Linked DNA regions of Saccharomyces cerevisiae S288C. The protein of the gene in region 1 binds, or shares a complex with, the protein of each later gene. Each region holds a gene or a part of one and is shown in the gene's direction. Other genes may lie near its edges.

Evidence for each region.
Region 2: the proteins of COX2 (region 1) and COX12 are in contact, whole or in part, in a cryo-EM structure (PDB 6T15), measured with the Saccharomyces cerevisiae proteins. Residues at the interface, in NP_009326.1 of Saccharomyces cerevisiae: Val110 (codon at 7,038), Ile111 (codon at 7,041), Ser112 (codon at 7,044), Pro113 (codon at 7,047), Ala114 (codon at 7,050), Met115, Thr116 (codon at 7,056), Lys118 (codon at 7,062), Ile120 (codon at 7,068), Tyr122 (codon at 7,074), Lys127 (codon at 7,089), Glu129 (codon at 7,095), Ser131 (codon at 7,101), Asp132 (codon at 7,104), Phe133 (codon at 7,107), Ile134 (codon at 7,110), Thr140 (codon at 7,128), Arg176 (codon at 7,236), Val178 (codon at 7,242), Thr180 (codon at 7,248), Val197 (codon at 7,299), Pro201 (codon at 7,311), Gly202 (codon at 7,314), Arg203 (codon at 7,317), Leu204 (codon at 7,320), Asn205 (codon at 7,323), Gln206 (codon at 7,326), Val207 (codon at 7,329), Leu241 (codon at 7,431), Phe244 (codon at 7,440); in NP_013139.1 of Saccharomyces cerevisiae: Ser7 (codon at 1,588), Pro8 (codon at 1,591), Leu9 (codon at 1,594), His10 (codon at 1,597), Thr11 (codon at 1,600), Val12 (codon at 1,603), Gly13 (codon at 1,606), Phe14 (codon at 1,609), Gln20 (codon at 1,627), Gln21 (codon at 1,630), Asn22 (codon at 1,633), Gln23 (codon at 1,636), Thr24 (codon at 1,639), Trp52 (codon at 1,723), Asn56 (codon at 1,735), Ala57 (codon at 1,738), Leu58 (codon at 1,741), Cys59 (codon at 1,744), Pro60 (codon at 1,747), Leu61 (codon at 1,750), Asp62 (codon at 1,753), Trp63 (codon at 1,756).

The regions. Positions count from the first base shown.
Region 1 is NC_001224.1:67,048-77,903, forward strand, and holds COX2 (cytochrome c oxidase subunit 2), read left to right. Parts: upstream 1-6,710; coding exon 6,711-7,466; downstream 7,467-10,856. Other genes in the region: Q0255 (maturase-like protein), read left to right, coding at 7,448-8,575, 8,616-8,825, 8,857-8,937. UniProt on the Saccharomyces cerevisiae protein: Component of the cytochrome c oxidase, the last enzyme in the mitochondrial electron transport chain which drives oxidative phosphorylation.
Region 2 is NC_001144.5:216,584-226,741, reverse strand, and holds COX12 (cytochrome c oxidase subunit VIb), read left to right. Parts: upstream 1-1,569; coding exon 1,570-1,821; downstream 1,822-10,158. Other genes in the region: RIC1 (Ric1p), read left to right, coding at 1-1,316; seripauperin PAU23, read left to right, coding at 3,683-4,057; YLR036C (uncharacterized protein), read left to right, coding at 4,610-5,221; YLR035C-A (gag-pol fusion protein), read left to right, coding at 7,835-10,158. UniProt on the Saccharomyces cerevisiae protein: Component of the cytochrome c oxidase, the last enzyme in the mitochondrial electron transport chain which drives oxidative phosphorylation.

The DNA.
Region 1 (10,856 bases):
TGTATAAACAATAGAGAATATTGTTTAATGGTAAAACAGTTGTCTTTTAAGCAACCCATGCTTGGTTCAACTCCAGCTATTCTCATAATATTATATATATATATTTCCCTTTCTAAAAATAATAATAATTATATATAATAATAATATAATTATATATATATATATTATAATAATAATAATAATAATAATAATAAATAATAATAATTATTTTTATTAATAATATTAATATATTATAATTATTAATAAATATTAATAAAAATAGCTCTCTTAGCTTAATGGTTAAAGCATAATACTTCTAATATTAATATTCCATGTTCAAATCATGGAGAGAGTAATTATATTATATTAATAATCCCCCCCCCATTTTTAATTAAATTAAGAAGTTTAATTTACTATTTAATAATAAATGAAATAATAATAATAGATATAAGTTAATTGGTAAACTGGATGTCTTCCAAACATTGAATGCGAGTTCGATTCTCGCTATCTATAATTAATATTAATATAAATTAATATCCTATAATTAATTAAATACAAAATTATATTAAAACTTATATTATATTATATTATAATATTATATTATTATTATATAAAAATATAATAATAATAATATTTAATTTTATTTAATAATAATATTTTATATAATAAAATAATCATATTTATAATATTTAATATTAATAATAATTTATTATAATAATTCTTTAATATACTTATTTATTATTATTTTAATAAATAAATATAATTCTTATAAATATATTATAACAAAATATATTATATTTTAATTAAATACAATATTATAAATATATATATATATATAAATATTTATATAAAAAAAAAATAAAAATATTTTAATAATTATTCTTTATAAATAAATAATGATAATAATAATTTATAATAATCTCCTTGTGGGGTTCCGGCTCCCGTGGCCGGGCCCCGGAACTATAATATATTTTAATATATTTTTTATTACTCCTCCTTTGGGGTCCGCCCCGCGGGGGCGGGGCGGACTATAATAATTTTTTATTGATAAAAAAGTATATATAATATAATTAATATATTTCTTTTTATATAAATTATAAATATTATTTTATAATAAAAAAAGTATATATAATATTATATATTTAATAAATAATATAATAATAATATAAATAAATATATATATATTATTAATATATTAAATTTTATAATAATAATTATAATAATAGTAGTAGGTATAAATTTTAATAAAGAGTTTTATTCCAATGGAGTAATAATAATAATAATAATAAAATAAAGGATCTGTAGCTTAATAGTAAAGTACCATTTTGTCATAATGGAGGATGTCAGTGCAAATCTGATTAGATTCGTATATTTATACTTAATATAAAAAAAATAAATAATAATCTTTTTTATTATTATATTTATTAATAATAAATTATTTTGTTATTATTATTAATTTATATTAATATTTTATATAAATTATTTATTTAATCTTTCATTATATATTTAATATATTATTAATATTAATTAATATTTTATAATAAATAAATAAAATAAAATAAATATTTTAATATAATACTCCTTCGGGGTTCGGTCCCCCTCCCATTAGTATAGTATAGGGAGGGGTCCCTCACTCCTTCGGGGTCCCCGCCGGGGCGGGGACTTATTTTTATATTTATTAATAATAATTAATTTTTATATAAATTTATTATTTCTTACAATATATTTATTACTATTATTTTTTAATAATCTTATATATAATATATAAAATATATATATATTATATATATATATAAATATAATATATATTATTATAAATATTTATAATCTTATTAATTAATTAGATTATATTATATTATATTAGATCATATTATATTATATTATATTATATTATATTATTATTATTAATATTTTTATTTTTATTTTATATTTAATAGTAAAAAATCATAATTTTATAATTTATTAATTATTATATAATTTCATTAATATATTTCTTCTTTTTATTTATTTATTTATTACTTATTAATAGTTCCGGGGCCCGGCCACGGGAGCCGGAACCCCGAAAGGAAAATAATATAAAAAATAATTATAATTTATTATAATTTATTAATTTATTAATTTATTAATTTATTTATTAATTTATTAATTTATTTATTATTATATTTTTTTTAATAAAGGAAAATTAACTATAGGTAAAGTGGATTATTTGCTAAGTAATTGAATTGTAAATTCTTATGAGTTCGAATCTCATATTTTCCGTATATATCTTTAATTTAATGGTAAAATATTAGAATACGAATCTAATTATATAGGTTCAAATCCTATAAGATATTATATTATATTATATAATATTATATATTAATAAATATTATTAATTAATTTATTTATTTATTTATTATTAAATAAAAATATTTAATAGTTCCGGGGCCCGGCCACGGGAGCCGGAACCCCGAAAGGAGAATAATATAAAATATTATAATTATTTATATATTAATTATTAATTATTTATTATTTATTATATAAAAAGTATATAATTTTATATTTTAATATAGGGTTAATTAATTAATTATTAATTTTTTATAATAAGATAATAATATATTAAAAACTTATTATAAATTTATAAAATAATATTTATTTACTTTGATATTATTTTTAATCTTTCATTAATATATATTTTATTATAAGTAATAATATAGTTTAATTTAATTAATATAAATAAATTACATAAGAATAATATTATAATAATATTATATATTATATAAAGAAATAATAATTTATATTTTTATTTTTTTTATAAATAATATAAATATAAATATAATGGGGTTATAGTTAAATTTGGTAGAACGACTGCGTTGCATGCATTTAATATGAGTTCAAGTCTCATTAACTCCAATAATTATATTATATAATATATATATTAATAAATTATATATATATATATATATATAAATATTAAATAAATATTATATTAATAAATAATATAAATTATCTAATCGAAGGAGATATTTATAATATAATATAAATATTTTAATAAATTAATAAATATTATATTAATAAATAATTAATAAATATATAAATTATAATAAATTTTAATATTATTATATAAATTAATTAAATATAATAATTAATGAAATAGAAACTATAATTCAATTGGTTAGAATAGTATTTTGATAAGGTACAAATATAGGTTCAATCCCTGTTAGTTTCATATTATATATCATTAATATATAAAATATAAATATATATATTATAATAATAATAATAATAAATATAAATATAATTATATATATATATATATATAAATAAATAATTATTTAATTTATAATAAATATATATAGTTCCCGCGAAGCGGGAACCCCATAAGGAGTTTTATTATTAATTATATTTAATAAATATTAATTATTAATTTTATATTTATAAATAAATTTATTACTCCTTCTTAATTAAGAATAAAAAGGGATGCGGTTCCCATGGGGTCCCGCACTCCTTCGGGGTCCGCCCCCTCCCCTGCGGGAGGGGAGCGGACTATTTTATTAAAAATATTATAATTAAATAATAATATAAATAATTTATAATATAATAATATATACTTATAAATAATATTTAAATCTTATTATTAATTTATAAATCATAAATTATTATTAATAAATATCTCTTTTAGATAAGATAAATTGAACTTATATTTATATTATATATATATAGATATAAATCTTAAATAGAGTAAATATATTATAATAATTATATAAATATATATATATTATATTAAGATAATAATATATATATATATTAATATATAAGGAGGGATTTTCAATGTTGGTAGTTGGAGTTGAGCTGTAAACTCAATGACTTAGGTCTTCATAGGTTCAATTCCTATTCCCTTCATAATTTATTATTAATTATATATTATTATAAATCAAATCCATTGAAATTAATATAATCCAATGAATAATTAATTTAATACATAATTTAATATATAAAATTATATATATATATACTTTATAAAAAAAAAAATTATATAATAATTATATTAATATATTTATATATATAAATAAATAAATAAATAATAATAATTATAATTATAATTATAATTAATTAATTAATAAATAAATAATAATTTATATTATCTTTATAATATATATATATACTTTTATAAAAAAAATATATAAATAATTCTAAAATGTATATTTCTCCTTTCGGGGTTCCGGCTCCCGTGGCCGGGCCCCGGAACTATTAATAAAATTAATAATAAAATAATTATTATCTGTATTTAATAAATTTAATTATAGAGTTATATTTCTATATATTTATATATTTATTTATTTATTCTCCTTCCGGAACTAATAAAATATATAAAATAAGGGTTTTTATTTATTTAATTAATATATATTTATTCTTTTATATAATATGTCCTTATAGCTTATCGGTTAAAGCATCTCACTGTTAATGAGAATAGATGGGTTCAATTCCTATTAAGGACGATAATAATATATATATATTTTAATTTATATATCATATATATATATATATTAAAGAAAATAATATAAAAAGTATGTATTAATAATAATAATAAATAAATAATAATAAATAATTTTATTATATTATATTATATTATATTTATTGATATATTTATTGATATTTATTAATTTAAGATTATTCATTAAATATATAATTATTAATAATTTAATATATTTTATAATTTTTATTATATTTTATGTAAGAAGAAACTATTTTATATATTATATATATATATATAATTTTTATAAAATGATAAATTTTATATTATAAATATTATTAAAATATTTTTATAAATATTTAAATTATTTATAAAAAGGTATATAATAATAATTATTAATATTATATTATATTATATATTTATTTATATTATATATAATAATATATTTATATATATATTAATTAATAAATTAAATAAGTATCTATATTTTATATTATATTATATTATTTTATTTTATTAATTCCGGAAGGAGAATAAAAAGTATTCTAAAGAAATTATATATTTATTATTTTTATTAATATGTTATAAATTAATAAAAAATAAATATGTATATATAAATTATATTTATTATGTTTAATTATTTATAATTTATTATAATATATAGTATAAGATATCTTATTTATATTTATATATAATAAAGAATATTATTAAACTAACACCTATATTATATATATTATATTATATAATATTATATATATATTAATTACTAAGAATAAATTTATAATTAGATAATATTTATATTTATTTATTTATTTAATTAACAAATATATTAATATTTTTAATTAATTAATAATACCTTTATATATATATATATATATATATTAATTTTAATTATATAATTATCTTTTTTATTAATAATTATAAATATATTATATATTTTATATAATAAGATTATAATTTTATAATTATTTTATTTTTTATTAAAAATTATTATTATTATAATTATTATATTATAATTATAAATTATTAAAGAATATATTTATTAATATTTTAATAATTAATATCTTTTATTTATATTTATAAAATAAGGTATAAATATTGATAATAAAGAGTAAATATTGTATTAATTATAATAATAATTATAATTAAGGAGCTTGTATAGTTTAATTGGTTAAAACATTTGTCTCATAAATAAATAATGTAAGGTTCAATTCCTTCTACAAGTAATAATGATTATAATATTTATATATATTAAAATAATATTAATAAATAATTACTCCTCCTAGCAGGATTCACATCTCCTTCGGCCGGACTCCTTCGGGGTCCGCCCCGCGGGGGCGGGCCGGACTATTTTATTATTATTAAATAGATGTTCATTAAATAATTATAAATATAATTTATCTTTTAAATATATATATATAATATAATATTTAAATATATATTATAAATAAATAAATAAATAATTAATTAATAAAAACATATAATGTATATTTATCTATAAAAAATATTAATTAAATTAATATATTATTACAGTTCCGGGGGCCGGCCACGGGAGCCGGAACCCCGAAGGAGATAAATAAATAAATAAATATAAATAATTCTTCTTCTTTAAAATTAAATAAAATAAAATAAAAAGGGGGGCGGACTCCTTCGGGGTCCCGCCCCCCTCCGCGGGGCGGACTATTTTATTTTTAAATATATATTATATTAATAATATAAATATAAGTCCCCGCCCCGGCGGGGACCCCGAAGGAGTATAAATAAAAATTAATAATATATTATATATATATTATATTAATAATAATAATAATAATAATAATAATAAATAATAACTCCTTGCTTCATACCTTTATAAATAAGGTAATCACTAATATATTATAATAATAAAAATTATATATATTATATATAATCTAAATATTATATATTTTAATAAATATTAATATATATGATATGAATATTATTAGTTTTTGGGAAGCGGGAATCCCGTAAGGAGTGAGGGACCCCTCCCTAACGGGAGGAGGACCGAAGGAGTTTTAGTATTTTTTTTTTTTTAATAAAATATATATTTATATGATTAATAATATTATATATATTATTTATAAAAATAATATATAATTTTAATTATTTTTAATAAAAAAAGGTGGGGTTGATAATATAATATAATATTTTTTATTTTAATTTATAATATATAATAATAAATTATAAATAAATTTTAATTAAAAGTAGTATTAACATATTATAAATAGACAAAAGAGTCTAAAGGTTAAGATTTATTAAAATGTTAGATTTATTAAGATTACAATTAACAACATTCATTATGAATGATGTACCAACACCTTATGCATGTTATTTTCAGGATTCAGCAACACCAAATCAAGAAGGTATTTTAGAATTACATGATAATATTATGTTTTATTTATTAGTTATTTTAGGTTTAGTATCTTGAATGTTATATACAATTGTTATAACATATTCAAAAAATCCTATTGCATATAAATATATTAAACATGGACAAACTATTGAAGTTATTTGAACAATTTTTCCAGCTGTAATTTTATTAATTATTGCTTTTCCTTCATTTATTTTATTATATTTATGTGATGAAGTTATTTCACCAGCTATAACTATTAAAGCTATTGGATATCAATGATATTGAAAATATGAATATTCAGATTTTATTAATGATAGTGGTGAAACTGTTGAATTTGAATCATATGTTATTCCTGATGAATTATTAGAAGAAGGTCAATTAAGATTATTAGATACTGATACTTCTATAGTTGTACCTGTAGATACACATATTAGATTCGTTGTAACAGCTGCTGATGTTATTCATGATTTTGCTATTCCAAGTTTAGGTATTAAAGTTGATGCTACTCCTGGTAGATTAAATCAAGTTTCTGCTTTAATTCAAAGAGAAGGTGTCTTCTATGGAGCATGTTCTGAGTTGTGTGGGACAGGTCATGCAAATATGCCAATTAAGATCGAAGCAGTATCATTACCTAAATTTTTGGAATGATTAAATGAACAATAATTAATATTTACTTATTATTAATATTTTTAATTATTAAAAATAATAATAATAATAATAATTATAATAATATTCTTAAATATAATAAAGATATAGATTTATATTCTATTCAATCACCTTATATTAAAAATATAAATATTATTAAAAGAGGTTATCATACTTCTTTAAATAATAAATTAATTATTGTTCAAAAAGATAATAAAAATAATAATAAGAATAATTTAGAAATAGATAATTTTTATAAATGATTAGTAGGATTTACAGATGGAGATGGTAGTTTTTATATTAAATTAAATGATAAAAAATATTTAAGATTTTTTTATGGTTTTAGAATACATATTGATGATAAAGCATGTTTAGAAAAGATTAGAAATATATTAAATATACCTTCTAATTTTGAAGAACTACTTAAAACAATTATATTAGTAAATTCACAAAAGAAATGGTTATATTCTAATATTGTAACTATTTTTGATAAGTATCCTTGTTTAACAATTAAATATTATAGTTATTATAAATGAAAAATAGCTATAATTAATAATTTAAATGGTATATCTTATAATAATAAAGATTTATTAAATATTAAAAATACAATTAATAATTATGAAGTTATACCTAATTTAAAAATTCCATATGATAAAATAAATGATTATTGAATTTTAGGTTTTATTGAAGCTGAAGGTTCATTTGATCTATCTCCAAAACGTAATATTTGTGGTTTTAATGTTTCACAACATAAACGTAGTATTAATACATTAAAAGCTATTAAATCTTATGTATTAAATAATTGAAAACCAATTGATAATACACCATTATTAATTAAAAATAAATTATTAAAAGATTGAGATTCATCTATTAAATTAACTAAACCTGATAAAAATGGAGTTATTAAATTAGAATTTAATAGAATAGATTTTTTATATTATGTTATTTTACCTAAATTATATTCATTAAAATGATATAGTCGTAAAGAAATTGATTTCCAATTATGAAAAACACTTATAGAAATCTATATAAAAGGTTTACATAATACACTTAAAGGTTCTAATTTATTAAAATTAATTAATAATAATATTAATAAAAAAAGATATTATTCTAATTATAATATTTCTCCTTTCGGGGTTCCGGCTCCCGTGGCCGGGCCCCGGAACTAAAAATATTATTGATGATGTATTAAATATAAATCTTATCTATAATTATAAATTACCATATCGTATAAATAGTGATATTCAACGTTTAAATTCTATAAATAATAATAATACTAAATTTATTAATGTTGGAGTATTTGTTTATGATTTAAATAATACATTAATTATAACATTTACTGGTTATAGACCAGCAGCTCTTTACTTTAATTGTTCTCCTTTTCGGGGTCCCGACTGGGGCCGGGACTAAACATGAAATTGCTAAATATATTAAAAATGGTAATGTATTTATAAATAAATATATTTTAAAAAATATTTTATTAGATTAATTATTATTTTTACTTCTTCTTAAAATTAAAAAAGGAGACTTTTTTATATTTATATAAATTATATATAAATTATTCTTTTATTATAAATATATAAAATTATTTTCTTTTAATTATTTTTATAATTAATTAATTCTTCATGGCTATAGCCATAACTTTTAATAATATTCTTTTATTCTTTATTATTATATATATATATATTTATTATTTATTATTATAGAATTTATATTTATAAAAATATTAATATTTTATTTAAAATAAATAATGATTAATTTATAAAATATATATTAATTAAGTTTCGGGTCCCGGCTACGGGACCCGGAACCCCCGAGAGGAGTTATTATATTTATAATTAAATCTTTAAATAATATATCTTAAATTATTATATTGATATTAATATTATATTGATATTAATATTAAATATATATTTAATATTTAGCTTATTATTTTATAAAATTATATTTATATATTATAATATAATTAAATATATTATAAATTTAATAATTTAATAAAAATATTCTTTTTATAATTATTATAATAATTAAATAAATAATAATAATAAGAATAATTAATGTATAATTTTTTTATAAATATTATATATTTTTATATTAATAGTTCCGGGGCCCGGCCACGGGAGCCGGAACCCCGAAAGGAGAAATATTAATAAAATAAAATAAAATTATAATATAATTAAATTATAAGAATTATATTTACTCCTTTTATAATTTATATTTATAATATAATATAATATAAAATAAATATAATATAATATAAAATAAATATAATGTAATAGGTATTCACTCCTCTTTGGGGTTCCGATCCCCCATACGGATACGGATACGGATACGAATACGGATACGGATACGGATACGGGGGGCCGTCCCCCAGAACTTAATATTATATCTTAAATAATTAATATAAATATAATATATTATTTAATAATAATAATAAATAAATAAATAAATAAATAAATAAATTAAATAAATAATAATATTATTATAATTACTTTTTAATAAATAATATTAATATAATATTATATTAGTATTATAAATAGACTTTTTATTATTTTATATATAATATAGTCCGGCCCGCCCCCGCGGGGCGGACCCCGAAGGAGTAATATATTATATAATTATTATTTTTAATTATAAATAAAATATAATTATTATTTATTATATAATTTATATAAATATATATATATATTTATTATATATATAAATATAAATATAAATATAATAATTAATAATATTAAAGTTTTATATATATTAATATATTATAAAAGGTTTATATATATATATAATAAGATAAGTAATAAATTAATTAATTAATAATATAAAAATATATATTATATATTATGTTTTATTTATATATATATATATATTATGTATTATTATATAAATATATATATATATTATATTATAAGTAATAATAAGTATTATATTATATATAGCTTTTATAGCTTAGTGGTAAAGCGATAAATTGAAGATTTATTTACATGTAGTTCGATTCTCATTAAGGGCAATAATAATAATATATTAATTAATAATTAATTTATAATAAATATATTATAATAATTAATATATATATATATAATATATTTAATACAAAGAAAATATATATTATATCTCTTATTTATTTATTTATTAATATTTTAATAAATATAATATTATAAAAAAAAGTTTATATATTTAGTTCCGGGGCCCGGCCACGGGAGCCGGAACCCCGGTAGGAGAAATATAAATATAAATATAAATATAATATAAGTTTGGTATTCATTTAATTATATTATTTAATTAAAAATATTCTAAATAAGAATAAATATCAATAAAGGAGTTATAAATATATATATATATTAATATATATATAAAAATATATATTATTATTAGTTCCCGCTTTGCGGGAACCCCGTAAGGAGTGAGGGA
Region 2 (10,158 bases), on another chromosome or scaffold:
CAGATTATGTCATGTGGGAATACAATGTTCCAGAGAATACGATTGTTTTCAGTTTACATGTTAATACTTTATCCCGGTATAAGTTGTTGAAAATGAAATCCAAGAATCACAATGCTTCTGAAAAACAACCTGATGCATTGCTTAAAACTGCCGAGATTATTTTAGTTACTGATACACAGACAATTGTCTTCGATGTAATTTCTACTGTACATCCATGTGGATTAAACATCATCAAAAAATTCTACCAGTATCTCAAAATTAACATTCCAATTGATGTTTTACCCAACAAAATTGAGTGGATAATTAACATGAAGGAGGGCTTGTTATTTTTTGCCGATAGGAAATTTATAAAGCTTGGCAAAGTGGATGGAGGGGGCTGGCAAACCTTAACTTTGTTGGATAACATAGAAAAAATAATCGATGTTATCAGGGACGAAATATTTGTAGTTCAAGGCCATAATTACGTCGTATACTCTTTGGAAGATTTATGGGATGATAAAAAGCCACTAGTTTCCATTCCAATCGAAGAAGATTTGTATCCAATATCAACCACCCCAGAAACAGCTACAACACATACACTTCACTGCATTTTTAACGCGCGATTTTCCAAATTGGTGGTGAAACACCAAATATACCTCGACCAATTAATCTTAGCCAAATTAGAAGACAACACAGATTTGGAGGATATTTCACACAATTATCGTTTTTTAAAGCCTTACAAATTTGCACTCGAAAAGATTTTGTCTACTAAAATACTGCGAAGCGACTCTTTGGATGATATCCTGAAATTAATTAAGATGTATGACAACACCGATCCTGAGCATAATATTTCACCACCAACCCACAGTGGTATGTTAGAAATTATTAGTAATTGTTTAAGGAAGATCGAAACTAAATACTGGAACCATCTATTCACTAATCTAAAGATGACACCAAGAGATTTATTAGCACTCTGTATCGAAGAAAATGAGGCTAAAATGCTTGGCGTACTTCTGTTAGTGTTTTTAAATTACGATGAGAAAGATTTGGGAGATGATCTACATTTTAAGAAATCAGATTTAGGGACTGAGGAAAGCAAAGCTCTAAATGATAACTCTACAAAAAAGTCAGAGAAATCTGTCACTAATTTATTGAAGGATGAAGAATTAATGCTTAAAGTCTTAGAGCTTTTGGTGACAAGTGCTGCAAACGCCACAGACCCAATTAAAGCTACCGATTCGTGGGACATGTGTTTCCAATTAATACGCTTACTCAAGGAATTAGACAGAGAAAACAACACACAATTGGTTCAAAAAGCACTCGAGAGATTCAAATAAATCTATATGACACCATGTATTCTTTACCATATAGCTTCATAACATTGACCAATCAATTTTCAGAAATGCGTCGCGCGTAGTTTTGCCCGATATCCCCATCCCTTCAGGATCTTTAAAAGGTGATGAAAGATGCACCAGATAGAAAAGTTGCATTAAAATGATTAGCAGAGATATACAAATATTTTAGTAAGAATACATAAAGTATCTTTGCTTTCACAAATAGGAACAAGCACATAAATACAGTATAATAGACATGGCTGATCAAGAAAACTCTCCACTACATACAGTTGGTTTCGATGCTAGATTTCCCCAACAAAACCAAACAAAGCATTGTTGGCAATCTTATGTGGATTATCACAAGTGTGTTAATATGAAGGGCGAAGATTTTGCTCCGTGCAAGGTCTTTTGGAAGACCTATAACGCCTTATGTCCCCTAGACTGGATCGAAAAATGGGATGATCAAAGAGAAAAAGGTATTTTCGCAGGTGATATCAACTCAGACTAAGGATCTTAGTTTCGTTTTTAGTAATGTGCACTTAGCCTTTTTTATATCATTATTATTAATTACTAGAATTCATTTTTGCGTAGTAGACCTACACGGGATGAAGGATATCTATATGAAAAGTAAAGTAACAATAGGAGATAATGAAAAAGTGATATCATACGCTAACGAATGTTCATGATGGAGCCAAATTCCTAAAAATCAAACAAACAGAAAAAAATGAGAATGATGTGGGGTACTGAAGTTTTATTTTTCATATTTATTTTTAATTATAGTAAGTAGCCATTTCTATATATATTCAAAAATTATTTGACCCTCGTAACATCTGCCACTGCACTGAAAAGAACAAGGCAATGGATAACGCTGATAAAGACGTCAGCATGAACTTTCAATTCACTGAGATAGCAACATTTTCGAGGATTATATAAGGGGTACTAATCTCTTCTAGTCATCGTTTGAAATACATTCAGGCTGAGAAAGATAAACGCTGAACATGTTGAGAATAAGGCACTTCCTGGGACCTACTAAAAGATAATAATATAGTATTTGAAGAGACCTTCATCAACAGCCTGAGATCGGCACACATCCTTCACAAGCGCCCCAGTTCCAGACTGAAGTACACATTTCTATCTCTTACAGTCACTACTTGCGATTGCTACTACTAAACGAAATGATGGCTGATTTCTGAATGTCAATTCTTTACTTATTGTTCTATCAGGCTAGAAGGATAGTAACATAAACTTCTAAAGTACCTTTAAAGAGCCTCAATGCACTGCCTTAACAAGCAAATGACAATTTTCCTATCAATTGTTTCACGAAATACGTTTGTCGTAATTTTACGCATTACAGGTCAGAAGGAGACTAGATAAGGCCGATTCTCCGAGTACTGTTGAACCACAGGCTTCAGCAAGTGAAAACCAACAGACAAAACAAGGAAAACAGCAAGATTAACCGTTTATATTTGCTTCTACTACCTCAACGGAGAATGGAGCAGGCCTTTGAAAACGCTCCTACTTTTGAAATTGCCTTTGTAAATATTGTATCTCCAGCCGCGCTTAGCTAAGTGGATATCACTAGATTAAAAAACACTCTCGAGCTACCCTATGAAGACAAGATTCATCCATAAACTCCCTAAGTGGGTATCCATTAGATGCCAACTACTTCACTCATGCAATACATACAGCAATTGCAAGACTTGTGATTTTAATCCAAAAGAAACTTCCCTGGGTGTCATGAACCCAATCAATGGCCGTAACTCTTCGTATGGTCAGTTTATAACTCTCAATCACGTTTCCTCGCTCATACCCTAACAGGTACGACTCCTCTGATCATATAGAGGGATTTTAATGTTTCTGATTTGGGAAACATTCAATTTTTCTCCTGACAACCGTTTAGTGTCAAACATTGGATATTGCCCTCGTTCAGAGGGCACAGAATAAAATTTGATTTCTGGTTCATTTTCTTGGCCAAAGATTAATTGAAGTTGTCAAGGCATGCCAAAACTTCCTTTAAAGGTATCATCCCTGTACCGAACATTCCTGTGCTCCTGTATATATCATAATAAGATATAGGTAGTACAAAGGCGCGGATCCGTATACGAGATCTATAAAAAAAGCATTGTTGAAGAAAGGGCAACTGCATATTTGTAGTGGTGAAGAGTATGGGATAGGGGAGCCCAAGTAAGAGAAATATCAGCAGTGAAATAGCTATTCAACAATTTATCTGTTCGTCCGTCGCTTATTAAAAAACGGCATATAAATAGAGCAGCTTTGATTAACTCTTTCCGACAATTTGGCATTGTTATTTACATTCGAGTGAGCTCACATCTTCACTAAAAAGATCTACAAAAGTTCAATCGAAAAAAATGGTCAAACTAACTTCAATTGTTGCTGGTGTCGCTGCTATTGCTGCTGGTGTCGCTGCTGCCCCAGCCACCACTACTTTATCTCCCTCTGACGAAAGAGTTAACCTGGTCGAATTAGGTGTCTACGTCTCAGATATCAGAGCTCATTTGGCTGAATACTATATGTTCCAAGCTGCTCATCCAACTGAAACTTACCCAGTTGAAATTGCTGAAGCTGTTTTCAACTACGGTGATTTCACCACTATGTTGACTGGTATTCCCGCTGATCAAGTCACTAGAGTCATCACTGGTGTCCCATGGTACTCCACCAGATTGAGACCAGCTATCTCCAGCGCTCTATCCAAGGACGGTATCTACACTGCTGTTCCAAACTAAGCCGATGGCCTCACAATTGGTATTTAGCACTGGATTGCTTTACGAACGGATAAAAATAATTATGATTTGACGGTAAGAAATAATTAGATATACATACGTATACAAACATATATATGTATTACAGGTACTTTTAATCAGTTGCACTGTGTTCAAAAAGATATTTTTTAAATGCGGGGGGAGATTCAAGTTTTGTTCTCGCATTTAAATTTCTGCATACAATTTGTACTTACAAGAACCTTATACGATTCCAGTTGAGACACGTACTGATATATTAATGATCATATTAAGAATCTTAATGCTTAAAACTTCTCTTCAATTCAGCATTTGATCTGTGGCAAGTTAATCTTGTTCCATTTAACGTGGATTTGACTTGCCATGATCTTCCCATAAAGCGGTAAATAGCCTTTTTGGTAAAAAATTGAAAGTTTAAAAGTACGGAACAAACTTTCGAGTTTTTCCTCAAAGGCCCTTCACAACACACGAGAACTAAAAGGTAGTTAAGACAGGAACTTGCCGTTAAAGTTTACTTTCTCCTTCAAAGTATAGGAAATAATGAAAGAGGCAGAACTTAGTGCGACAGAAAGCCAAGATGAGATCCCAAAGTCTAATTCCTTATTAATTATAGAAAAATTAACAAAGGCCGTTTGTAGCCTTTATTTTATAAATTGTTTTATGGTGCCATCAGTAGATAATTTGATTGAAAAGTACCCAAAAGCAATCATCATTAAGATCATAGATATGATTCTGGGGGCGGTAACAATTTCCCTCGTTATTATAGTTTTCTTTTTATATCGAAAGAACGGTCATTTTAAAAATGAAAATAAAACAAAGCCAAAGAGATGTTCGAAGGTAGTATGTCCCAGCTGTGCTGCCAGAAAAAAGTATCCTAAATGGTTTCAGCTAAAGTATTTGTTATTGGTATCAATGACTGCTTTCAGCTTCTACTTTTGTACCAAAATTAGGTTTTTTTTTAAAACTGACCAAACTATTAATTTACACCGACTATCACAGCTATTTAGATTGCAGCTAGGCTGGATATGTACTACTGCATTATTATTCTATTTTTACGATGCGTTGATATTACATAGCGGGTTCATTGAAGGGTATAGATGTGTCAATGGAAAGGGAGCGATGTCTGAAGGTAAAACCGGGCAATTAAATTGAGGATTTTACCTAATATGTATTATTTTGGAATTAGCTTGAAATGTGAAGGTATCATTTTACTGTTGCATATTGGATAATTGGTAAAGTTACGCAAAGTATTCAATATCATCTTCTTGCATTACTCGACCATTGAGAATAATTTACTATATAGTTTGAATACGAGATTACACCTCGACAAAAGTAGTTCTATTATTTGCACGTAACAATTATCAGAAAATGGGTGAACTTCGTATTAATTGTTGGGATTTCGTTGTTGATATTAGGTATACAAAATATACTAGAAGTTCTCCTCAACAGTCTTGGAATTCACGAAAGGGAGTTGATAGTTCTGATAATAAAATCACTTTGTCTTCCTTTCTTTTATACTTTGTCATTCATTATTCTACTACATTATCAATTTGTTAGAATGAAACTCTAAAACATCATCTGTTTAGTAGTATTTGCGTTACTAGTCAATTATGATCGTTGACTCTTATTCTAACAGCTAGTAATATTACCCCCGTTACGTATGAAAGTGTTGGAATAAAAATCCACTATCGTCTATCAACTAATAGTTATATTATCAATATATTATCATATACGGTGTTAAGATGATGACATAAGTTATGAGAAGCTGTCATCGATGTTAGAGGAAGCTGAAACGCAAGGATTGATAATGTAATAGGATCAATGAATATAAACATATAAAACGGAATGAGGAATAATCGTAATATTAGTATGTAGAAATATAGATTCCATTTTGAGGATTCCTATATCCTCGAGGAGAACTTCTAGTATATTCTGTATACCTAATATTATAGCCTCTATCAACAATGGAATCCCAACAATTATCTAATTACCCACATATATCTCATGGTAGCGCCTGTGCTTCGGTTACTTCTAAGGAAGTCCACACAAATCAAGATCCGTTAGACGTTTCAGCTTCCAAAATTCAAGAATATGATAAGGCTTCCACTAAGGCTAACTCTCAACAGACAACAACACCTGCTTCATCAGCTGTTCCAGAGAACCCCCATCATGCCTCTCCTCAACCTGCTTCAGTACCACCTCCACAGAATGGGCCGTACCCACAGCAGTGCATGATGACCCAAAACCAAGCCAATCCATCTGGTTGGTCATTTTACGGACACCCATCTATGATTCCGTATACACCTTATCAAATGTCGCCTATGTACTTTCCACCTGGGCCACAATCACAGTTTCCGCAGTATCCATCATCAGTTGGAACGCCTCTGAGCACTCCATCACCTGAGTCAGGTAATACATTTACTGATTCATCCTCAGCGGACTCTGATATGACATCCACTAAAAAATATGTCAGACCACCACCAATGTTAACCTCACCTAATGATTTTCCAAATTGGGTTAAAACATACATCAAATTTTTACAAAACTCGAATCTCGGTGGTATTATTCCGACAGTAAACGGAAAACCCGTACGTCAGATCACTGATGATGAACTCACCTTCTTGTATAACACTTTTCAAATATTTGCTCCCTCTCAATTCCTACCTACCTGGGTCAAAGACATCCTATCCGTTGATTATACGGATATCATGAAAATTCTTTCCAAAAGTATTGAAAAAATGCAATCTGATACCCAAGAGGCAAACGACATTGTGACCCTGGCAAATTTGCAATATAATGGCAGTACACCTGCAGATGCATTTGAAACAAAAGTCACAAACATTATCGACAGACTGAACAATAATGGCATTCATATCAATAACAAGGTCGCATGCCAATTAATTATGAGAGGTCTATCTGGCGAATATAAATTTTTACGCTACACACGTCATCGACATCTAAATATGACAGTCGCTGAACTGTTCTTAGATATCCATGCTATTTATGAAGAACAACAGGGATCGAGAAACAGCAAACCTAATTACAGGAGAAATCCGAGTGATGAGAAGAATGATTCTCGCAGCTATACGAATACAACCAAACCCAAAGTTATAGCTCGGAATCCTCAAAAAACAAATAATTCGAAATCGAAAACAGCCAGGGCTCACAATGTATCCACATCTAATAACTCTCCCAGCACGGACAACGATTCCATCAGTAAATCAACTACTGAACCGATTCAATTGAACAATAAGCACGACCTTCATCTTAGGCCAGAAACTTACTGAATCTACAGTAAATCATACTAATCATTCTGATGATGAACTCCCTGGACACCTCCTTCTCGATTCAGGAGCATCACGAACCCTTATAAGATCTGCTCATCACATACACTCAGCATCATCTAATCCTGACATAAACGTAGTTGATGCTCAAAAAAGAAATATACCAATTAACGCTATTGGTGACCTACAATTTCACTTCCAGGACAACACCAAAACATCAATAAAGGTATTGCACACTCCTAACATAGCCTATGACTTACTCAGTTTGAATGAATTGGCTGCAGTAGATATCACAGCATGCTTTACCAAAAACGTCTTAGAACGGTCTGACGGCACTGTACTTGCACCTATCGTAAAATATGGAGACTTTTACTGGGTATCTAAAAAGTACTTGCTTCCATCAAATATCTCCGTACCCACCATCAATAATGTCCATACAAGTGAAAGTACACGCAAATATCCTTATCCTTTCATTCATCGAATGCTTGCGCATGCCAATGCACAGACAATTCGATACTCACTTAAAAATAACACCATCACGTATTTTAACGAATCAGATGTCGACTGGTCTAGTGCTATTGACTATCAATGTCCTGATTGTTTAATCGGCAAAAGCACCAAACACAGACATATCAAAGGTTCACGACTAAAATACCAAAATTCATACGAACCCTTTCAATACCTACATACTGACATATTTGGTCCAGTTCACAACCTACCAAAAAGTGCACCATCCTATTTCATCTCATTTACTGATGAGACAACAAAATTCCGTTGGGTTTATCCATTACACGACCGTCGCGAGGACTCTATCCTCGATGTTTTTACTACGATACTAGCTTTTATTAAAAACCAGTTTCAGGCCAGTGTCTTGGTTATACAAATGGACCGTGGTTCTGAGTATACTAACAGAACTCTCCATAAATTCCTTGAAAAAAATGGTATAACTCCATGCTATACAACCACAGCGGATTCCCGAGCACATGGAGTCGCTGAACGGCTCAACCGTACCTTATTAGATGACTGCCGTACTCAACTGCAATGTAGTGGTTTACCGAACCATTTATGGTTCTCTGCAATCGAATTTTCTACTATTGTGAGAAATTCACTAGCTTCACCTAAAAGCAAAAAATCTGCAAGACAACATGCTGGCTTGGCAGGACTTGATATCAGTACTTTGTTACCTTTCGGTCAACCTGTTATCGTCAATGATCACAACCCTAACTCCAAAATACATCCTCGTGGCATCCCAGGCTACGCTCTACATCCGTCTCGAAACTCTTATGGATATATCATCTATCTTCCATCCTTAAAGAAGACAGTAGATACAACTAACTATGTTATTCTTCAGGGCAAGGAATCCAGATTAGATCAATTCAATTACGACGCACTCACTTTCGATGAAGACTTAAACCGTTTAACTGCTTCATATCAATCGTTCATTGCGTCAAATGAGATCCAACAATCCGATGATCTTAACATAGAATCTGACCATGACTTCCAATCTGACATCGAACTACATCCTGAGCAACCGAGAAATGTCCTTTCAAAAGCTGTGAGTCCAACCGATTCCACACCTCCGTCAACTCATACTGAAGATTCGAAACGTGTTTCCAAAACCAATATTCGCGCACCCAGAGAAGTTGACCCCAACATATCTGAATCTAATATTCTTCCATCTAAGAAGAGATCTAGCACCCCCCAAATTTCCGATATCGAGAGTACCGGTTCGGGTGGTATGCATAGATTAGATGTTCCTTTACTTGCTCCCATGTCCCAATCTAACACACATGAGTCGTCGCACGCCAGTAAATCTAAAGATTTCAGACACTCAGACTCGTACAGTGACAATGAGACTAATCATACAAACGTACCAATATCCAGTACGGGTGGTACCAATAATAAAACTGTTCCGCAGACAAGCGAACAGGAGACTGAGAAAAGGATCATACACCGTTCACCTTCGATCGATACTTCCTCATCAGAAAGTAATTCACTACACCACGTCGTTCCTATCAAAACGTCAGATACCTGTCCTAAGGAGAATACAGAGGAATCTATTATCGCTGATCTTCCACTCCCCGATCTGCCTCCAGAACCTCCTACCGAATTATCAGACTCCTTTAAAGAACTCCCACCGATAAATTCTCATCAAACTAATTCCAGTTTGGGTGGTATTGGTGACTCTAATGCCTATACTACTATCAACAGTAAGAAAAGATCATTAGAAGATAATGAAACTGAAATTAAGGTATCACGAGACACATGGAATACTAAGAATATGCGTAGTTTAGAACCTCCGAGATCGAAGAAACGAATTCACCTGATTGCAGCTGTAAAAGCAGTAAAATCAATCAAACCAATACGAACTACCTTACGATACGATGAGGCAATCACCTATAATAAAGATATTAAAGAAAAAGAAAAATATATCCAGGCATACCACAAAGAAGTCAATCAACTGTTGAAGATGAAAACTTGGGACACTGACAGATATTATGACAGAAAAGAAATAGACCCCAAAAGAGTAATAAATTCAATGTTTATCTTTAACAGGAAACGTGGCGGTACTCATAAAGCTAGATTTGTTGCAAGAGGTGATATTCAACATCCTGACACTTACGACCCAGGCATGCAATCCAATACCGTACATCACTATGCATTAATGACATCCCTGTCACTTGCATCAGACAATAACTACTATATTACACAATTAGACATATCTTCGGCATATTTGTATGCAGACATCAAAGAAGAACTATACATAAGACCTCCACCACATTTAGGAATGAATGATAAGTTAAT